Linked DNA regions of Coturnix japonica. The main gene of each other region encodes a partner of the protein of the gene in region 5 in a complex. Links are inferred from orthologs where the notes say so. Each region holds a gene or a part of one and is shown on either strand. Other genes may lie near its edges. The genes, in order: CHD5, HDAC1, HDAC2, CDK2AP2, MTA1 and CHD4.

Evidence for each region.
Region 1: MTA1 (region 5) and CHD5 share a complex: the UniProt entries of both Homo sapiens proteins name them as parts of the nucleosome remodeling and deacetylase (NuRD) repressor complex. The link is inferred for Coturnix japonica from reciprocal best matches to the Homo sapiens genes MTA1 and CHD5.
Region 2: the proteins of MTA1 (region 5) and HDAC1 are in contact, whole or in part, in a cryo-EM structure (PDB 7AO8), measured with the Homo sapiens proteins. The link is inferred for Coturnix japonica from reciprocal best matches to the Homo sapiens genes MTA1 and HDAC1. Residues at the interface, in NP_004680.2 of Homo sapiens: Asn132, Glu135, Ala162, Asp163, Gly165, Glu166, Ile167, Arg168, Val169, Asn171, Arg172, Tyr173, Gln174, Ala175, Asp176, Ile177, Thr178, Asp179, Leu180, Leu181, Glu186, Asp187, Arg189, Gln191, Ser192, Arg193, Leu194, Glu195, Thr196, Gln197; in NP_004955.2 of Homo sapiens: Lys10, Tyr14, Gly20, Asn21, Tyr23, Gln26, Lys31, His33, Arg36, His39, Asn40, Leu43, Asn44, Tyr48, Arg49, Lys50, Met51, Glu52, Ile53, Tyr54, Arg55, Pro56, His57, Glu63, Lys66, Tyr67, Asp104, Val118, Ala119, Val122.
Region 3: MTA1 (region 5) and HDAC2 share a complex: the UniProt entries of both Homo sapiens proteins name them as parts of the nucleosome remodeling and deacetylase (NuRD) repressor complex. The link is inferred for Coturnix japonica from reciprocal best matches to the Homo sapiens genes MTA1 and HDAC2.
Region 4: MTA1 (region 5) and CDK2AP2 share a complex: the UniProt entries of both Homo sapiens proteins name them as parts of the nucleosome remodeling and deacetylase (NuRD) repressor complex. The link is inferred for Coturnix japonica from reciprocal best matches to the Homo sapiens genes MTA1 and CDK2AP2.
Region 6: MTA1 (region 5) and CHD4 share a complex: the UniProt entries of both Homo sapiens proteins name them as parts of the nucleosome remodeling and deacetylase (NuRD) repressor complex. The link is inferred for Coturnix japonica from reciprocal best matches to the Homo sapiens genes MTA1 and CHD4.

The regions. Positions count from the first base shown.
Region 1 is NC_029536.1:536,692-540,191, reverse strand, and holds part of CHD5 (chromodomain-helicase-DNA-binding protein 5), read right to left. Parts: intron 3,397-3,500; coding exon 3,252-3,396; intron 2,091-3,251; coding exon 1,931-2,090; intron 1,782-1,930; coding exon 1,702-1,781; intron 1,548-1,701; coding exon 1,418-1,547; intron 895-1,417; coding exon 805-894; intron 515-804; coding exon 380-514; intron 215-379; coding exon 106-214; intron 1-105. UniProt on the Homo sapiens protein: ATP-dependent chromatin-remodeling factor that binds DNA through histones and regulates gene transcription. May specifically recognize and bind trimethylated 'Lys-27' (H3K27me3) and non-methylated 'Lys-4' of histone H3.
Region 2 is NC_029538.1:4,502,600-4,505,256, forward strand, and holds the end of HDAC1 (histone deacetylase 1), read right to left. Parts: coding exon 2,640-2,657; intron 2,520-2,639; coding exon 2,373-2,519; intron 2,271-2,372; coding exon 2,222-2,270; intron 2,137-2,221; coding exon 2,109-2,136; 3' UTR 501-2,108; downstream 1-500. UniProt on the Homo sapiens protein: Histone deacetylase that catalyzes the deacetylation of lysine residues on the N-terminal part of the core histones (H2A, H2B, H3 and H4).
Region 3 is NC_029518.1:58,985,486-58,988,753, forward strand, and holds part of HDAC2 (histone deacetylase 2), read left to right. Parts: intron 1-589; coding exon 590-730; intron 731-2,322; coding exon 2,323-2,431; intron 2,432-3,268. UniProt on the Homo sapiens protein: Histone deacetylase that catalyzes the deacetylation of lysine residues on the N-terminal part of the core histones (H2A, H2B, H3 and H4).
Region 4 is NC_029520.1:566,315-569,330, reverse strand, and holds CDK2AP2 (cyclin-dependent kinase 2-associated protein 2), read right to left. Parts: upstream 1,560-3,016; 5' UTR 1,432-1,559; coding exon 1,362-1,431; intron 1,171-1,361; exon of another isoform or gene 1,133-1,170; coding exon 1,056-1,132; intron 960-1,055; coding exon 827-959; intron 741-826; coding exon 673-740; 3' UTR 501-672; downstream 1-500. Other genes in the region: PITPNM1 (membrane-associated phosphatidylinositol transfer protein 1), read right to left, coding at 48-125; CABP2 (calcium-binding protein 2), read right to left, coding at 1,933-1,958, 2,119-2,266, 2,360-2,469, 2,558-2,692. UniProt on the Homo sapiens protein: Acts as a component of the histone deacetylase NuRD complex which participates in the remodeling of chromatin.
Region 5 is NC_029523.1:3,940,078-3,943,577, forward strand, and holds part of MTA1 (metastasis-associated protein MTA1), read right to left. Parts: intron 1,715-3,500; coding exon 1,615-1,714; intron 250-1,614; coding exon 61-249; intron 1-60. UniProt on the Homo sapiens protein: Transcriptional coregulator which can act as both a transcriptional corepressor and coactivator. Acts as a component of the histone deacetylase NuRD complex which participates in the remodeling of chromatin.
Region 6 is NC_029516.1:69,333,918-69,338,067, reverse strand, and holds the end of CHD4 (chromodomain-helicase-DNA-binding protein 4), read left to right. Parts: exon of another isoform or gene 1-30; intron 31-228; coding exon 229-338; intron 339-517; coding exon 518-650; intron 651-898; coding exon 899-976; intron 977-1,097; coding exon 1,098-1,235; intron 1,236-1,331; coding exon 1,332-1,440; intron 1,441-1,759; coding exon 1,760-1,892; intron 1,893-2,461; coding exon 2,462-2,657; intron 2,658-2,773; coding exon 2,774-2,917; coding exon of another isoform or gene 2,918-2,949; intron 2,950-3,049; coding exon 3,050-3,111; 3' UTR 3,112-3,650; downstream 3,651-4,150. Other genes in the region: NOP2 (probable 28S rRNA (cytosine(4447)-C(5))-methyltransferase), read left to right, coding at 4,008-4,113. UniProt on the Homo sapiens protein: ATP-dependent chromatin-remodeling factor that binds and distorts nucleosomal DNA. Acts as a component of the histone deacetylase NuRD complex which participates in the remodeling of chromatin.

The DNA.
Region 1 (3,500 bases), on a different chromosome or scaffold from region 5:
CTCCAGCCCCTTTCCCTGCTCCATCACCTCCCTCCCCAATGCCCTCACAGCACAGCCCCCTCCGCCTGGCACGGGGAGGCCATCACCCACAAAGCCAAAGGGTACGTGACAATCCCTGCCAGCAGCCAGTAGTCATGTCTGCGGTGCCAGATGTCATAGATCTTGCTGGAGGAGATGGCAGCTCTTTCCTCATTCTGCCACAGCGTGTGCAGCTCTGCAGAAACAGAAGAGAGACAGCCTGGTCAGCCAGCAGGGCTGCTGGGCACAGCATGCGGGGCGAGCAAGGAGATGGCCCAGGGAGCCACAGGAACAGCGCTCAGTACAGAGCTTTATGGAGAAGCTCTGCAGGAGTAACCAATGGCTCATCTCTCATTTCTACCTGTAAAGCCTCCATCAGCAATGTTGAACATGAATCTAAAGTTCACATTTCTGTCATCCTTCTTTCCGTCCTCCTCTTCTTTGTCACCATTTTGCTGAGTCTCATTTTGCTCCTTCTCTTCCACCCTGGTATCCTCTGCTGGGCAAACACAGGAAATCACACCTGCCCAAACTCACTCAGCCATCAGAGCGGCTGCTGCTACCACTGCCCTCCCAGCTGCAAGGGGAAGTCCCCACTAAAGTCACTGCTGGAGAAGCCACCAGCCCCACCTCCCACCCACCTGCCTCCCCCAGCAGCTCCTGATGTTTTCATAGCAAGCACAGGCAGTGCCCTGTGCCACCCCCAGACACTTGCCTTGAGTCACTGACCCTGCCCAGCAGGGCACCTTGCACCACTTCTCTCCCCAAAGCCTCCTGGCACTTTACCTGGCTTGACTTCTTTGTCCTCCCCTTTGCCAGGACTGCTGTTGGACTCTGGCTTTTCCAAAGTCTTCTCTTTTTCTTGAGTACCCTCATCTGCAGAAGGGAACAGGACTCTGAGAAAAGCATAACATGTAAAACGCTCTTCAGGAAATAACAGATATGGATTGACTGTAACTTTCAGGGTAAAGTGACTGTATTGTGCACAAGCATTTCTCACAACTTATTTTACATTTAATTTGTAGATTATACTAAACTAATGCTTTAATATTACAGTGTAGATTACATCTGTGATAATGTCGTGTCATTATCTAGACAGCAATCTGGAAGTCCAACAGGAAGCCTTTCTCAGGAACTCCTACTGGACATTGTGACATCCAAGTTTTCCACTGCAATTTGGAGAAGAGAAGCCAGCAGCAAGTGCCAGAGTTTCCCAGCAGAGAGTATCTGCCTGTCAGGAGCACTGAGGCTGTCACAGTGCACACTCTGTGTCTATGCACCTTGAGCTGAAGAAATCCCCCAGCACACATCAATGTCACTGTAACTGTCAGAGCCCTCACAGATGTCCCAGATGCTGCTCAGAATGAAGCCTGTATTCTTCTGAGCCACAGAGACTCACCTTTCCCCAGGGGCTCAGGAGAAGGCTCAGCCTTTTCACTCTCTTCTTGTTTCTCTTCCTTCAGTTTCTCTTTGCTTTCACAGTTTTCTTGGCACTCCTCACTTTCCACCTTCTCAGTGCTTCCAGGCACCTTAACGTGAAGCACCCACACTGGATTAGCACAGCAGCCAGAGGGATGTGATTTGCTTGCAGAGGAATGCTGCAGCATCTCCCAAGAAACACCATTACTACAGCACTGCAGTCTGCAGGGCAGCACTGCGGGCACAGGTTCATGACCCCCCTACCTGGCTGTCAGATGCTCTCCTGGACTTCTGCTCCACTTGGTCCTTTTCCTCCTGGAATCCGAGTGGTGGGTCTGTTTTTTCTGTAACACAAGTAAAGCAAGGAAGCTACAAACAGGAATCCCATTGTGCCAAGGACACAGTGCCAGATACCTGCAAAACTTTCTGGTGTCCTGTTCCACCTCCCTTCCTAAGGTAGACCAAAGCCACAACCAGGGCATTGTGCATTTACCTGCAAGGGCAAGAGGTCCTGCATGTATGTGTGCTGGGCTGGCTGGGACAGGGGTGTTGGGATCTGAAGAAACCATCTCACTGCACTTCTTGCTCTCCGGGCCCTCCAGAATCATGTCTGGGGTGCTGTACTTCCCATTGACATGCTCAAACTCCTGCACCTGGGGCAGACACACAACAGCAAGTCAAACACAGCGGCCAGCAACAGAGCAGCAGCAGGCCAGCCCCATCCAGAGGTGCTCCTACACCCACCACCCCATGTGGCACACTTTGCTGGGCAGCAGGTGCTACTGCCCATGCCCTGCTGCTTTGCAGGGCAGCACCTCCAGCAGCAGTCCTGCTCTGCCCACATGCACACAGAAAGCCTCCCATGCCCCAGCAAGTCCACTGCAGCTGTGCTGGCTTTGCAGACTTAAGGGAGAGGTACTGAGTTAAGACTGTGTGAGTAGCAGAAGGGCAGCATGCGAGTGACCGTGCTGGTGCCCATGTGAAGCCTTGGCAGGCATGCAGGGTGAGCTGCACCCTGGGGGTGCTCATGCAGTGAGTTCACAGTCCTGGACCCATCATGCCTCCATCAAAATGCTCCTTGCTTCCTCTCCACTCCTCTCTTTCACAGAGTCTCTCTTGCACACCCCGTTCCCTAGGCTGCAATTTGTCACTCTCCACACCCAGCAGAGTAACAGTTGATGCTCCAGACACAGCAAAATCAGGTGCCATCACTCCCAGCATCTGCCCTTCCCCACTGCTACACTGGAACTACTGCTATGATCATCTAATGGTCTTCCTGGGACAACTCTGAGTGCTGCACTTGTCAACATATGGGGAGATCCTCTAAACAAGACAGCTGAGGATTCTTCCATACACTTAACTGCCAGTATCCTCGGGGCTCAGCACATGCCTGGGATTAGCAACATGACCAACAGTTATTCAGTCCCAAATCAAGCCCAAACATCTCTCTGAAAGACATGCTTTGGTTCAACAAGATGCTGGACACAATGCAAGACTTGGCAAGTGGAAGTCTCTGGCCTGTACAGTATAGGAGGTCTGAGTAGGTTACTGTAATAGTCCCATCTGAAATGAAAAGAACTATAAATCCAGGAATTTTTTAGAAGTTAAAAATGTGATTTTGCCACGATTTTTTGCCAACCAAGCACTTCTACCTCCAGCTGACCTACATCACTGAAATACCACAGACGTGGCCGTGCACCAAGCCTTGGAGATTCAATAAGGGGATCTCTGGCAAGGAGGCATTCAGCAGCTAACAAAACCCCCAGGTATCCAGAACGTACCTGAAGGGCACATGTAAGATTTTACTCACCCACCTTCTTCCTTACTAGTGACATAACTCCGATCCGAGTCAGCACGTGCTGGCGAGAAAGACCTTCCCGTGGGACCCCATCTGCAAATGTCTCTGCACCATCAGCTCCAGGTTCACACAAATGTCGCATGAACAGGGAGACATAAGCCCTGTGGAAAGAAAGCAAGAGCTGGCTCTAGCTTGGACCAAGAGCTCCCTGCTGAGCACCCGCAGTGCCTGTTTTCACCAGCGGCCAAGGGCAGAGTTTTGCCCT
Region 2 (2,657 bases), on a different chromosome or scaffold from region 5:
GCTGTGGCACTCGAAGCTTTTCCTCCTCTCCTTATGAGGCAAAACCACCCGGCTCATTTAATCGTTATTTTTCTAATTAATTGAACAGCAGATTGCAAATAAAAACCACAACCCAGGCACTCATGCAAGAAATAAGCACCCAAGTGCTTTAAAGCGCCATGTAACCCATCGTCTCTATGGATGATCATGGTTGCCTTCAGCAGCAGGCAGTGCAGCATTAACAGCACACAAAGGGCTGCGATGGGAACGGCCCCGTGTGGGATTGCAGTGTGTGTGTGTGTGTTGGGGGCTGAAGGCTGCGCTATAAAATTGAGGGAAATAAAGGGAATTTCAACACCTGCAGCAGGATCTGCTGCACGCTGCATGTTCCTACACACTGCTTTGGCCCTCAGCACTCAACCAACACATCCACGTCCATCACCCTATAGCAGGGGAGGCTCCTCTTGCAGCACACTGTGACTCCACCCCGCGCACAAAGCAGCTCCAGCTCAGACCAACCATAGAAATGGACGTTTTATTACAAAGGTTCTCCAAATTTAAAATAAAAGCATCTTTAAAAAACCACAATATATTTCCCCCCCTCCCCTCCCCAGGACACAAAGATGCACCCATCCCTCTCGCTTCACATACAAACACTGAAGAGCGGGAGTGAGACGTCACTCGGGTTCCAAGAGGCTACAAAAAACTGATGGTGGAAAAAGGGAGGAAAAGCACGTAAAAAAATAAAACATTTCAAAAATAACCTGTGTTAAGTTAGCAGCATTATTAGAGTTGAAACCAGCAGCAGCAGCCCCGTGGGAGGTACAGACCCTCTTATGGACAGAGGAATCGCCCTGAGAAAGGAGAGCAGCGAGTCACAACTGCCTGCAAAACTTGTGCAAAGCTGGAGCTCTTGGTGGAACGCTCATCTCACGCTCAGCTGTACAAAGCAAGGTGTGAGAAAGGCCGGCTCTGAGCACAAAAGACCTTTGGGTGTGAGATAACGTGTGGGAGTAGGAAGAGGAGTAGTTCTAGAAACGTACAGAGCCCCATCTGCTGTTCCCTCGTACAGATAACAGCGCTGCCTGCTGATAAAAGGCTCTCAGCATTTACTGGCCTTGAGAGCAAAGAGAGGGAAGGATCCGCTCGAAAACGTGCCTGCTCCAGGAGGAGATTCTTAGTAAGTGGCACGTGGAGCAGAGGCACCAGCTGGGCCCTGCCCGTCTGTCCTGCTCTGCTGTGCTTTCAGCAAGGACACGGATCAGCACTGAAGCAATTACAGCACGTGTAGCTGAGGGCAGCAGCAGAGTGAAGCAGGCAGCCAGGTGGGCAGTAACTCACCTCCCCCCTGCAAAGAGGGGCACAGCTCTAGGAAACGAGTGTACAAAGACACACAGCGCTGCCAATGGGATCCGCCACATCCCGGGAAGGGTCCATCCCCACAGCTCTCTACCTGCAGGGCTCTGGGCAGATTCACTCCATCCACCTCCTGATCTGCCTGTCAGCTGTTTCACCTCTCTCCACAAGTCTGCTGCAGGAAAGTAGCCAACTCTGTCCAAGAACTGCACTATTTGACCCTGAGAAGCGGCACCGGCTTGTAGTTATTGCCGTGGTGGAATCAGACTGAAGACCAAAGGACGCTCCGTCTCTCACAGGCTTCATTTGGGAATTCACATCTCCCACAAAAACAAAACAAAACAAAAGAGAGAGAAAAAGGAAAAGAAGCAGAAAAAAAGCAAAAGCTTCATGGCCATCTTCCCACCTAACCTGAAATGCAGATGCTACTTCTACTTAAATTATTCATTCTTAAGGGCGGTTACTTCAGAGGAGAGCAAAGAAAGGAAGTGATTCTTTCTTAAAGACACACTGAGGAGCTGGTGGGAGGCAAAGAGCAAAACTTCCCAGTTCCAATGCTGGGCAATGTGGGTCTCTCTACTCTGCAGTCCTCCCTGCCTGCTCCCAGCGGAGTGCAGCGAGGAATAATTTACAGTTCTCAAGTCATTTATATATTTATATAGAAATATATACAGAAACATATATAAAATATAAATCCTGTGGAATGGGAGGCAACCGGAGAAGCTAACCTACGACAACCACGCACTGACAGGCGCCGTCCAGCCGCAGCCATCTTAGGTGGATTTTGCCTCTTCCTTCACCCTGTGGAAGGAAGCAGTGGAGAATCTGGTTTAAACAAATACAAACTCAGACAGTGAAGTGCCAAGTCAAGAGACACCGTGCTCACCCCTTGGGTTCAGCTTTCTCCTCTTTTGCTTTTTCCTCTTCTTTCTCATCTAGGAGAAAAAAATAAAGGCATGGGAGGGCAGTAGGAAAGCACACATCAGGCAGTGCTCTACACAGCTGGGAGGGCTTCCAGCCATAGCCCTCGTGCTTACCCTTCTTCTCCTCCTCCTCCTTTTCCTCTTCTGTTTTCACACGTTTGGCCTTCTTAAAGTTGGCAACGTTTTTGCGCCCTCCTTCCCCTTCATCTTCGGAGTCAGAGAATTCTTCATCACAGGATATTCTCTTATCAGAATTGCGGACTGAGAGTGAAGGGGAGAAGAGGTCAGAAGATACTGCGCACTAATGCTTGGAGATGTACAGGCTCTGTGCAGTGCACTTCCCAGCAGAGCAATGCAGCCATGCCAGAGGCAAGCACCTACTTGAAATGCGCTTCTCAG
Region 3 (3,268 bases), on a different chromosome or scaffold from region 5:
GTTGCCCATACAGATCAGATTTTTTTTCATCTTACATATCTTGGAAACCAAGAGAGCTGCTGCCTCCTACAGATGCCTTTCAGTATGCTGTATCTACCTGGACTGTGTACTGTCTTGGCACCAGTTTACTCTGTAAGCAAGACTTAGCAACCTTTTGTACAGGTTCAAATTTAGAAGTAGAAAGGAGCAAGTACTGATTTACTTTTTTTTCGTTCTTCCCACTTTGTGTTTAGCTGAGAAATTATCCCTAGATTTGTCACTGTCTTTCCATAGCTAATATCAATACAAAACACAAAATACTTGTTCTAAGAGCATTTCAGAACTACAGTGGTAGGAGGCCATCATCCAAAGTCTCTGAAAATGGGGACGGATAATGTTCAGAGTGTTTTATATGCATCTTAACTGACTTGTGAAATTATGCTTAGCTGTAGAGGGTGACAATTCTGTTTTACTTGAATCAATTCAGTTCTTACTTGATAAGTATCACGTATAATGAACTCTAAGCATATAAGAGTATATACAAATCACTTTTTCTTCTTACTTACTGAATGTTTTGCATATATTGTCAAATATTTTTTGTTTGTCACAGGTCATGCAAAATGTGTGGAAGTTGTAAAGACTTTCAACTTGCCGTTGCTGATGTTAGGAGGAGGTGGATATACTATTCGCAATGTTGCTCGTTGCTGGACATATGAAACTGCTGTTGCCTTAGATTGTGAAATTCCTAATGGTAAATATTCCACAAATTCATACCTTATTAAGAAATAATCATAGGAAGGTCAATGTGGAAGGATAATTATGGAGATATTTGCCAAGTTCTGTGTGTCAGTTTAGAATGAACTATAGAGAAAGCCATTGTTAAGGCTCAGCTGATAACTTTTCACAAGCTTATATACTAAATGAAGTTTAGAGACTTAGGGCTTGCTTATGCTTTTATCAAAGCTTAAAATTATCAGGTCGCTTAGTATATATGTTATCATATGTTTGGCAGTGTTTTTATTATGACAGCACAGACATGTTTAAGCTGGGTAATGCAGATACGGTGTTTATAAGAAAAGTCTGAGTGTATAAGTACCCATTTTGCACGGTAAAACTTTATTTCTTCATTATATCTTTGACCTAAAAGTGTCCTTATTGACATCATCTGTTCCAATTGCCTCAATTTTGGCTATGCAAGCTCTTACAACTTTTAAAGCAAAATAGCAATAGTCAGCTTCTTTTAAATTCTTGAATAATTAAGTAATTTATCTGAGGAATATCTCCATAGAGCCTACACTCCCTGTAATTCTGGCCAAGTATGCTTCTGGACATATTTTTTGAAAGCTTTTCTATGAAATTAGTATTTGAACTGTCTTGTTACATCAGCCATTGGCAGCTTTCACGTTGGACTGCAGATTTACTGGTAACGTTTTGATATACATAGGTTGCTCCAAAAAGTAGTCTCTCTTATTTCTGTAAAAACTGCAGCATGTACAAAAAGAACAATAACGTTGTTTGATACAGCAAACTCTTAGCTACAAAATACTGTTTTCCAACATAATCACCACTAACTATGAATTTTTAGCAGTGATGAATAAGAGCCTGCATACCACACTTTAAAGTCGGCACCAGCAGAGATGTGTCCCACTGTCTATGTTACCACTGCTGAAACATTCTACCCACCACCTCACTTTGCTCGCATCTACTGTTTGGTCTCCATAAATGCTCAGCAAGCATCAGTGAATGTCAGTAGGTGCTATTTTCTCTTCATGGAGAAATTCAGTTCTACACCTTTATTTCATCTGCACTTCATGTCAGATATTGTTCTGTCAGACTGCCCCTTTGCTGCCATCTGTCACGTGGCAACAAAATTTAACAGAATATTGGTGGGAAGGTTCAACTTCTACTATGCTACCACTAGCATCTGCCTGTGCTGTCATGGGCTAACATCATAAAATAGGAAGCATTACTTTTGGAGCAACCTTTGTACCCCATCATAGGTTTTACTGGAAAAAAATCCTTACTGGCTCACATAAGGTAACTTGGAAGTACCTGTAAATAATATCAGTTAATTGTACCACATCTCCAAAATTAGCTTTTTTAATTATCAATTTTGTTACCTAAGCATTGTCAACATGTGTTCTAACATTATTAAAACTTATTTTAATAGAACTTTATTTTGTTCTTATTGTATTGTGCGAAGAAAGCATGTTTAACTTAATGTGTTGAGTAATTTAGAGAAAAACACTGAAGGTGATACTTCTTGTATTTTGTGTGCACTTTGTATTTAAAATGATTAAAATCACCATTGGGTCACAGTTGTCTTTTCTGTTCTATTTATAGAATTACCATACAATGATTACTTTGAGTATTTTGGACCAGACTTCAAACTTCATATTAGTCCCTCAAACATGACTAACCAAAATACACCAGAATATATGGAGAAGATCAAGTAAGTAGTGCTTACATTATTTGCCAAGTACATGTGTGAGTTGTGCTTCTCTAAAGGTTTAATATTTACACAAGTTTGAGAGTTCCATTCCCTACTACACGCTGAAAAAGTACTGAATAGAAAAGACATTTTTTTCCGTTTTATCAGAAGATGAAATTTTAATTAAAATATCTGTGCCTACAACATTTTCTGTGCTTATGAGTCCTGAGTATTTAAAGAAGAAAGGCTTAGGACTCAGTTTCGGTGGCTTTTTCCCCTTCTTCCAGAAATGAAAGAGTTGACTGTTTTATTTGGCTTACTCTGATTTTGTAAGAAATTTATCCTGTCAGGAAAGAAGCTGTGCTGTGCACTGATTATTAGGCTTCCAAATTCTCTACTCCCTTGTCCAAACACGAGTGATTGTCATTCTTTGTAGCTGTCAGCCTTAAAAATAGAAATCATGTGAGGAGACATTAAAAACTATGGAAAGATGTGTGCAAGCGATTGAGAGACTGTAGTTTGATGAGTCCACAAGATTTGTGAAGTACTTATTGACAAGCTGTAGATATTGTGTTCTTAGGCTTTGCTTCTTCAGTTTATGCCTACCCACATCATGAAGGTTTGTAAACTAATATTGGTCTTCAGAAATGGAATAATACTTAAGAATAATCAAATCTGTACTCATCTAATAAAGAGATAATTGGTTAACCTGAAGTACTCATTGTTTACAATTGTTTTGTTCCTGATTTGGATTTAGAAGAAGGTCATGTAATAGAAACAGAGACTGTAAGGATCTCATAAAACCTCAGTTGCCATTTCATTCTTTGAATTGTGCAGGGGGATACTGAGGTAGTTGTC
Region 4 (3,016 bases), on a different chromosome or scaffold from region 5:
CCCACACGACCCCCCCCCCCGGGCCGCAGCCCAGGCCCCATCCGCACCTGGATCATGTAGAGCTGCGCTACCTGGTACTCCTCCAGGCTCATGGGCAGCAGGATGTGGTACTCCTTGATCAGCATGGCGCCGTGTTTAGGGGAAGGGGCGAGGGGTGGGGGGGGCTCCGCGGCCCTCCGCCGTTAACCCGGCCCCGGCCCGGCCCGCTTCGGCCGGGCCCTCCCCACTGCCATAGCAACGCGCCCCCCGCCCGCTCGGCCGCGCTCTCGGCTCCCTTCGGCTGTTTCCGTCACCCTTCGGCTCCTTTCGGTTCCCTTCGGCTGCGCTCGGCCCCTTCCGAACCTGCGCCGCTCTGAGCCGGCCCCGCGCTGTGTGACGTCACGGCGTGGGGGGCGCCCGCTGACGTCAGGAGGTGGAACAGCGTGGGGGGGGGCGTGACGTCAGAGGGGACGTCAGAAGCGGGGGGGCGGCGGACCGGGAAATTAAAACGGAGCGGTATATATGGGGAATTGGGGGCTTGGAAGGAGGATTTCCTTTATAAGGGGGGGGATGCAGCACGTCCTTTATTTATAAAAGCCGGAAGGTTGGGGCGGGGGGAGCCCCGGGGGTGGCCCCGTTCGGGGGGAGCCACCGGCGGGGCTCGGGGGGGGGGGGGGGGTCGGGGGGCTGCTGTCACGTGCGGGCGTTGCGCTCTGTCTCGGCCAAGCACTCCCGAACCAGCGCCCGAGCGTGGATGATCCCTGAATGGGGGGGATATGAGTGAGCACTGAGCTCCGGGCTTAAGGGGGGGGGAGGGTCACAGAGGGTCGCCCCCCGGGCTCGTTACCCCGCTTGAGCCGCTCCATGGCGCTCTTGCTGCCGGCGTAGGTGGGCCGGATCTCCCTGCCCATCTCCTCGATGACAGACAGCAGGTCGCTGTAGGTGCTCTGCGAGCCCGGAGCGCCGGGCGGCTTCATGGTCTGACAGGGGATGGAAGGCGAGGAGGACGGAGGGGGGGGGGCTCAGCGTCGCCCCACGCCGCCCTCCCGCCGCGTGCCCCTGCCCCGCGGGCTCACCTGCACGTAGCCCATGGACGGCGGCCCGAAGTCGTTGAAGAGCGGGCGGAAGGCGGACGGCGAAGGGACGCTGGGAGCTGCGGGGAGCGACCCCGGGTCCGGCCCTTCCTTCGCACTGGGGCCGGGCCCGTCACCCCTCAGCCCGGCCCCGCTCGGGCCCAGCTCCGTCCGCTCCCTCCCTCAGCCCCGACTCCCCTCCGCACTCTCCGTCCCTCTCCCTTAGGCCCCGCCGCCCCTCAGGCCTCGTGCCCCTCCTTACGCCCTCTTCTCCCCCCACCCCCGCTCTATCCCCGGGGCTCCTCTCACCGGCGGCCGTGGCTGCGGGCCCCGGGGCGGGGCTGGCGCTGGGTGCGGGCGCGATGGGTTTGTAGGACATCCCGCAGCGCTCCGGGCCGAGCGGCGCCCGCCGTGTGCAGGAGACGGAAGCGAGCGGGGCGACCCCCCCCCACAACCTCCCGCTGATTGGTCAGACGGAGCGACCCGGCGGCGCCGATTGGTCGACGGCACGAAGGGAGCCGGCCTGCGCTGTCGGGGGAGCGCGGTGATGACGTCACGAGGCGCACGCCGCCGATACGCAAACATGGCGCGCCGGGCTCCCATCACCATGGAGACCAGCGGCGTCCTGCACCCCCCCATCACCCCCACCCCCACAGCGAGGGCCAGAGGCCTCCCCCGGCACTCAACGGACGGGCACACGGCACCCGGCGGCACACAGCTTCATTGCGAACCGGCAGCGCTGCCAACACACCGACACGGGGCTCCAACACCGGAGCTCCCCCCCCACACACACCATGAGGGGCAGCGCAGGCCCGGGAAGGCCGCCTCCTCCTCCTCCTCCTCCTCCTCCCGGTAAGGCACGGCGGCGAGTCCCGGCCCTTCAGCGCGACATCATCCGCACAAACTCTGCACAAAGAACCACAGCATTAACCCCAAATAAAGCCGGCAATAAGCCCCAAATACAGCTGGCAATAGGGAGGCCCCCCCATCCATGGCTCCATTGTCCCCCAGTTAAAGCTGGGATCAATAGGGCCCCCCCCCCCTCCTTCACCCTGCCCCCATTTACCTTCAAAGTCCACCAGGCCGTCCCCATTGAGATCCACGTCCTTGAGGATCTCGTCCACCTCGCGGTAGTTGAGCTGCTGGCCCAGCAGCTTCCTCATGGCCTCCCGCAGCTCCGCCATGCTGATCTGCCCGTCCCCATTGGTGTCGAACTGCCCCATAGGAGACCCAGCATCACCACTGTGCTCCCAGCACTGCACCCCCTCCCCTCCCCCAATCCCGGCCCTGCTGCCCCCAGCCCTCACCTCACGGAAGGCATCGCGCAGCTCCTTGATCCCAATCATATCCGCTGTCTCCGCCAGCATCTTGGGGCCCATCAGCTCCACAAAGTCATCAAAATCCACTTTGCCGCCTGCTGGAAGGACCAAAGGGGGATTACAAATCAGCGGGGGTGGTACCACTGTGGCAATATGGGGTTACTTCCCCCTTGTCCTGGCACCTACTGATCTGCTGGGACAGCTCAATGAGCTCCATCTCGGTGGGCATGTAGCCCATGGTGCGCATGCATTCACCCAGGTCCTTGTAGCTGATGTAGCCATCGCGGTCCTTGTCAAACTCCTTGAAGGCTTGTTTCAACTCTAGGGGCAGCACAGGGAGAATGGTGACACCTATAGACAGCCATGGGGGCACCCTACAGGTGGGGGCAGGTGAGGACGAAGGGAGCAGCACTCAGACAGGGACTGTGAGGGATAGATGCTGAGATGGGGACCAGCATGGGGAGCTGAAGAGAATGGGTGTGAAGATGGGGACTGAATGGGAAAGGTGGCACAATGGGAACTGGGATAGGGAGCCAGTGGAACAGGTGCTGATATGGGGACTGAAGAGAACAGGTGTCAAGATGGGGACAAAGCACATTAAGAACATGAGAACTGGGGCAGGGAGCCAGGAGAAAAGGTGATGAG
Region 5 (3,500 bases):
CCAGTTCCATCCCTGATCAGAATCAACCTCATCATGCAGACCCCCACTTTATATACTTACAAAATCTTGCTGAATGTCAGTGAAATCTTTTCCGTATTTTTCTAGTGCTTCCTCAAAGAGGTTTGCCTCTGAAGCAGACCACTCCTCCATCTCATCTCTACACAGGACTGGCCCACCTTGTGGCACAAGCGCAGAGATCGCCTTGGAAATGTCATAGACATTTTTGTGCAAAGTGTCCATAGCATGGAACTACGTGTTGTAAGAGAGAAACAAATGTAAGAACAAGCTCCCAGTGGGAAAAGCACTCAGTAACTTAGCAGCAGTAGCAGAAACCATGCAGCAATATCTGTGGATAACGTACACTACATCTGCATCAAGTCAGATGCAGATACTTGCTCCAACCCCAGACTCAAGATAATTTTCAGTGTACAAGTCTTAGGTTCACTAAAAATGGTGGGATTTTTTGGAACGTGAGCATCTGCATATGAGTAATTCCTACTTTAGCTAATCCCTAGCATCACCACTGCAGCACTGCTGCTAAGAAAATGCAGGGGATAGAGCCTCACTCACCAGATGGAGCATGAAGATGGAAGTCTGAGGGTGTATTTTCTAATAAACTTAGCCATGCGCTTCTTTTGTCAAATAATCCTCACAAATTGCATATAAAACAAATATTTAAGCACGCAGACACAGGTCCCAGATGTCACAAACCCCAAAAAGAATTTAAGTCACATCTAATAGCTGACTAGGAAGAACTACTCCCAAGAGTGCGCAGTTATTCATCAGAAAGCTGAGCTACAACTGCTGGTGACTTATGATATACGAGGGGGAAGAACACACTGAGAGCGAGGGGTTGGTATTGAAAGTGAAAGCTGGGCTTTGTATCTGTCTTTTCTATCAGGATGTTATTTGTCTTCCATCTACCAGAGTTTTGTGCATAATAAACCTACAGTGTTTTATCCTAAAGTTTGTTCTGCAAATGATTTCATATTATATCAGTTATGAGGTGAGATTTTGATAACAGCACTCTGGAGACTTCATAACTTTTATTCACACTTCCATTTAACTCTTCCTAGCATAGACATTTCTTTTTTCCCTTTCCTCTCTATTAAGAATCCTTTACAAATACAAAATATTCATAGTACGCCCACTGCTTCAGTGCTTTAAAACCAAGCTCAAAGAAAACCCCATCAACTGAAATTCCTTATCTGACCACAAACCCTTCCCCCCCAGACCATTTTGCCCAAAGATGGCTGTGGCAGTTGGGAAAGCAGTAAGTGGTATTTTGGCATTACAGCATTGAAGACAGGCAGGTATCACATGGGTTCTTGTTAAGACCATTACTCACTAAGCCTAGGTAAGAGATGGGCTGTGAAGCATGGTCAGAACATTAAAGAAATAAAAATTCTGAGCTACCCATGATGGATCATAAGGAGGCACAAAGCCAGAAATAGTTACTTCAACGTAAATAAAGGGCTCCTTTACAAAGACAGGATCTGGTTCACAGCAGGCCACAATTACAGTCCATCTGCCCCTTTCCCTTTGCCAACTGTTATTGAGGAGGTGAATTATATTACATCTCTCAGTAACTGAAGGCCCACTTAAAAACCTTACCAGTGTGATGTCCCTAGAGGCTGCTGCAGCACTCATGTGTAAACTAGGTTGCCTGACAGAACTACTGCAGTCCAGTGCTCGGGCAAATGTACCAACAGACCTGAAAGAAATAACAACGGAGCATTAACTCTGCATGCAAAGCAAGCATAAATATCAACACCCAACCAACATTTTTTGGGATCAGCAGACTCCACTTCTCAGTAACAAGATTCCATGTCTTGGCACTACTTCTGAGCCAGGGACCGTTCTCTTCAGATGTGGTTTGTTATTATGAATGCTCGACTGTGCACAGTTTATATGACCAAATAGACTCAGGCAGGAGAACAGTGGAGGACTCCAAGATCACAAACAGGCAGTTTCGAACCATCTCATCCTCTGTCTCTTAACATAAACTTTTGAATTAAGGTTCAAAAGAGAGTGATTACAAGTGACCTTTATGAACAGCAGCCCTAGTAGTGCTGTGTTGTCCAAAGGCACATCGATACATGCCAAGACATGACAGGAAAAAAAAAAAAAAAGAATACAGGAACAATCATTTTCCAAAGCTGCAGAAAAAGTACGACATAGTATAATGTTGTAAATATATATTTATTATATGTACCGTAATATATAAAAAAGAGTATTTAAAGTATAAACAGGCCGTGTAAAAGGATAGCAGTCCTCAGATAGTTCTCTATGCCAGCCACTCCTGTTTGCGAGGCTGCAATTCCCAGGCTCCTCATTTTACCCCAGAAGAAATGAGCTGGAGAACTCTACAACAGGAACACTGGTTCCAGTAATTCCCACTCCCCTGGCTGCTTGTTGCAGCACACAGTTGGGAACACTCCTGCACACTGAACTGGAGCTGAACTCTGAGAAATTACAACAAAATCAATTCCCCCCCCTCCAGCACCCCCTCACTCTGTTCACTTCCCCAGACTAGTTGACTGGCTGAGTGCATAGAAGAAAAAAAAAAAGGTAAATACTTAGGCAGTAATCCATCAAATATCTGATTTTGGTCCAAAGCCAAATCTGCCCCCGCAAGGCTTTGGTGCATTCACACTTCACCCTCTCCCCAGCCTCCTACTCACTCATCCTCATTGCTGCTTCACAGCTCCCCTGCTTGCAGAACTGATACTTTAATTTTTTTTTTGTGGTACCTAATTAGAAACTGGATCACTTTACTGATTCTGGGTAGAAGCAATCTTCATACTGATCATTTTGGGGTCTTTTGCCAGCAGGCAACCTCACATGGCTCTATCAGCAAACCAAGCAGGCAGCAGAAAATGGCCAGAACTGCTAGAAGCAGCTTCACAACCAAAAAGCCTACATGAGGTGGAAAGTGCCATCACAGAGCAACTCTGTGGTCAGTCTAAACCAACCCAATGCAAAACCCCCATCAACAAGGCCTTCCACCCTCTGGTTTCCTACTGAGTGCTCCTGACACCAAGATCACAGCAACATGTGGCTGAGTGGCATCGTGAATCAATGCTGCTGGAAGTCAGCTTATCAAATGAGCTCTTTATTGAAGGGCCCCAAAAGCAGCAGGAGTCCTTTGCTGGAGATATTCCAGCTTTCTCCATCTCTTCTCCTGCATCACCGATAGAGATTCTTCTCCCTGCTTTCAGCCATTTCCTTATGCGCATCTGTTTAAGCACAAGGGCTGCTCCAAAAGTAATGTCTCCTATTCTATTACGTTAGCTCACAATGCCAGAGGCCAACAGAAAGAACACCATATGCAAGTTTATCAGGACCTACTGAACTAATACAGAACTGACAGTTTCCTGGACAGCATAATGACCAGCAATGAGATGTGGTGTGTAAAAGCTGGAGTCAAAACAGCAGCCCATGGAATGGCAACATGTCAATCTCCCATAGAAGAAAAAGTTGAAGATGCAGCTCTCAGC
Region 6 (4,150 bases), on a different chromosome or scaffold from region 5:
TGCAAACCCTTAAAGGCAAGAGAGGACATCAGTGAAAATAAGTACCCTGTGTTTGCGGTTGGTAGGAAGTCTGTGGGTTCATCTTGAGCGATGTTGTTCCTGCTTGAATGGGCATTTTCTCTAGGAGCAAAGATATGTGCATGTTTACAGTGGGGGAAACACTTCACTGATGGCTTCTTTTCTTTTTTTTTTTATCTGATATGCCGCTCTGGGGTGGGGAATACACAGAAGAGGGAATAAAGGCAGAAGAAGGAGCCAGTAACAAGGAACAAGGAGAGTCTGCTGAGCCAGAGAAAGAACTCAGTGCCTCTGCTAATGACACAGAGGTCCCTATGGAGGTGGGTATTGGGATGCTAGTTTGCCTCATGCAGTTGCAAATGTCTCTACTTAGAGATGATTCTCCTCATGTTCTCACAATCAGTGTGTAATAGTTTTGTGCGGATTTGCTTTCCAAACTGGTTTGACTGTCTTGTTTGCATACGCTGCGTTGTTTCACTGCTCATTGATCTGTCCTCAGCAGTGTGCCCAGCCTACGGAGGCAGCACCACAGGAAGCAAAATCCCCAGTGAATTCCACAGAAACAGATGAGAAGAAAGAAGAACCAGAGGTGAAGGAAAGAACAGATGAGCCAATGGAAGTGGAAAACAAAGGTATCTCTAGAGAGGTTGTTTAATACCTTGAACACAAACAGCTGAACAAAAAATGAACACCAGTATCCTCCTAAAGATGCAACTTCTTTGCCTGTGTTTTCACCTTATAGAAGCAGACATAAATGGATAACTGGTGGAGACTGTTCCATGACTTTGAGCAGGGAGTCAGGGAACACCTTGGTTTCATTGACTGAGGAACAAAAGCTTGAGCTCATAGTTACATCTCATACTCCCTTTCTCTCTTGCAGCTGATGTGGAGAAGGCAGAAGACAGAGCACCTACTGAGAATACCTCTGACCCCCCTGTAATCACCTTGGATGAGAAAGGTGAGTCGTGATAATTCCATTCCTGATTCCCTTCATGACTCCCTCTCCTGCAAGGACTTCCTGTAGGTCCAACTTGCTATGCTATCTGCCATGTTCTTTCTAATGACTTCTGTGCACGCAGATGAGAAAAAGGATGATGATAAGAGAGACGTGGTGATGCTGCAGAACGGAGAGATGCTGAAAGAGTCAGTAGATGAAAGGCACAAAAAGGCAGTAAAGCAACGGTTCATGTTCAACATAGCTGATGGTGGCTTCACAGGTATGTGAAATCTTTTTATATTTTAACTCATTTATATTCTCCTGTTCTCGTTCATGAGGTAACTTTCCATTATTTTTGTGTATCTTGCCTGTCCAGAATTACACTCCCTGTGGCAGAACGAAGAGCGGGCCGCAACTGTCACAAAGAAGACATATGAGATCTGGCATCGGCGTCATGACTACTGGCTGCTTGCTGGAATTATCAAGTATCCTTGCCCTGAGAAACCAGTTCTCTCCCCCTGTGCTTTAAATCTTGTTGTGAAGGTGACCGTTTGGGGCCTGACTGGAACGCGTTCAGAGAGAGAGTGCTTTTTATCATTCAGTAGAGTGAAAGAAATGATGGGAGGAGGGTTTTAGTGTCGGTGTAATTAAGACCTAGCAGGAAATAGTTCTCATTCCTCTTTCTTGGCCCCTGTTCCTCCCCTCTTTGTGTCCCCTTCCCTGACCCCCTCAAAAACTGTCTGCCTGGACTGTGTATTCCCATGTTCTCACTGCCTTTGTTTGCCTGAGCTCATCCCATCTCAGTCATGGCTATGCCCGTTGGCAAGATATTCAGAATGATCCGCGTTACGCCATCCTCAATGAGCCCTTCAAGGGAGAGATGAACAGGGGTAACTTCCTGGAAATAAAGAACAAATTCTTGGCAAGGAGATTCAAGGTAAGGCACCTTCATTGTGACAAATGCCCTTCAGCAAGATGAGCTTTTAAGAACAAGATGGCTGCCAACCCAAGTTAGGCCATGTAATTCTGAGTCTCGGAACTAAACATCAGTGTAGTTTGGCCAGTCAGCTCTGCTACAATAGAATTCAAATTGATTTCTTCAGAGGACTCTGACATGTTTAACAGTTTCTCTTGAATTCTTCCTCTTTGGTTGGATACTTCTCAGGTTCACTGGGGGAAAAAAAAGCTTCATCTCCTGTGCTTCATGCAGAAAGATCAAAGATTTACTTCAGAAATCCTTTAAGAAGGCAGAGGAATATGAATCTGTTCACAGCACTTTAGACTGGTCATAAGTTGGTTGATTTTCTTGTATACAGAGCCTGGCTTAATGAAGCTCTTTGTTTCTCAATATTTAGACCAAGCTAAACAGAAGATGGTGAAAGGAGTTTCAGGGTTCCACCTTGTGACAGACAATGACTAGATCAGGAAGACTGTGGTGGGGTTGGAGAGGGACATCCAAGCAGGCAACTGCTGGAGGACTTCTCACATGACTGCCCCCTCTTGCAGCTCCTGGAGCAGGCCCTGGTGATTGAGGAGCAGCTGCGGCGAGCTGCCTATCTGAATATGTCAGAAGACCCCTCTCATCCTTCAATGGCTCTGAACACACGTTTTGCAGAGGTGGAGTGCCTGGCCGAGAGTCACCAGCATCTATCCAAGGAGTCAATGGCTGGGAATAAGCCTGCCAACGCCGTGCTGCACAAAGGTGATGTTATGGGCTAAGCAAGAGTGGATGTGTTGAGCATCTTGTGCACCACACATGGGGAAGACCTTCTTTTTCCTCCTTCCTCTGCCCTGAATCCATGTCCCTTTCTCTTCTAGTTCTGAAGCAGCTCGAGGAGCTTCTGAGTGACATGAAGGCTGACGTGACACGCTTGCCTGCCACTATTGCCCGTATCCCGCCGGTGGCAGTGCGCCTGCAGATGTCGGAACGCAACATCCTCAGCAGGCTCGCCAACCGCAGCAGTGAGCCCCCTCCACCGCCCCCTCCCCAACAAGTATGTGCCCTCCCTGCTCTGCAGGCGGGGGTGTCTCGGGGCTATGTGGGGAAATAGCCCCCATACTACAGAGCCTAGCGGCTGTTCTCTCGCCCTACAGGTGGCGCAGCAGCAGTGAGTCTCCAGCCCGGTGCCGTCAATCTTTTGGCCAAGCCGAAGTGACCCTCCCCGCCCCACCCCTTCACACTCTGCCCCTCTGCCTGACATTCCTGACCGGGTGCCGTTTCTTCGTGGAAGCTGCCGTGCGAGTCTCTGGGAGGAGGGAGAACCTCCTTCCATTACGGCCAGCCCACCGGAGCGAGGAGTGTGCTGAGGAGAGAGGGGGACGGATGGATGATGGACTCTGTACATAGTGACTGAAGGCCGCGGTGCCATGGCTGTTACATGGAGAACCTGGCTGCGTTGCTCGCTGCCTCCGCCTGGAATTCCACGTTTTCAGTTTTGTAACTTTCTTTTTGGGTTTGTTTACCGATGTGACCGCACAGGCGAGATGAAGCAGAAGCCAGGACAGAGACAAAGCTACCTCCATCGAGATCCTTTTTAATACAGAAACTGACGGGACTTGTCCGCTCATTAAGCAGCTCGGAGAGGAGAAAATAAAGTGAAAAAAAAAAACAACAAAAAAACACAACAAAAAGCAAAAGGACAAAAGCAGAGCAAAATCTTGGTAGAACTGAAAAATAAAGTTTCCTTGTATTTTACTTTGAGGTTTCTGTGCAGCACTGATTCTCTCTAGGCCTGAATCCTCCTGCTTTGCCTTGGGCTGGGCTGTGAGAGGCCCTGCCGTCTCTCGTGCCGGCCCACAGAATCACAGAATGACCCAGGTTGGAAGGGACCTCAAGGATCATGTAGTTCCAACCCCCCTGCCTGGCAGGGCCACCAAACATACACATTTACTAGACGAGGTTGCCCAGGGCCCCGTCCAACCTGGTCAACGTGGCCCGTGACGTTCCGCCCCGCAGCCAATACCGGGCCGGGGGCGGGTCGGCGGACGAGCGCGTGCGCGGCAGGGGTTGGCCCGCACGTGGGTTGTTGGCGGTGCCGGCTGTACCGGAGCCATGGGGCGGAAGCTGGACCCGACTAAGAAGGAGAAGCGCGGCCCCGGGCGCAAGGCCCGCAAGCAGCGGGGGGCCGAGGTGGAGCTGGCCCGCTTCCTGCCGCCCGGTAAGTGCGGCCCGTGGCGGCCCGGGGCCTTGGCGCT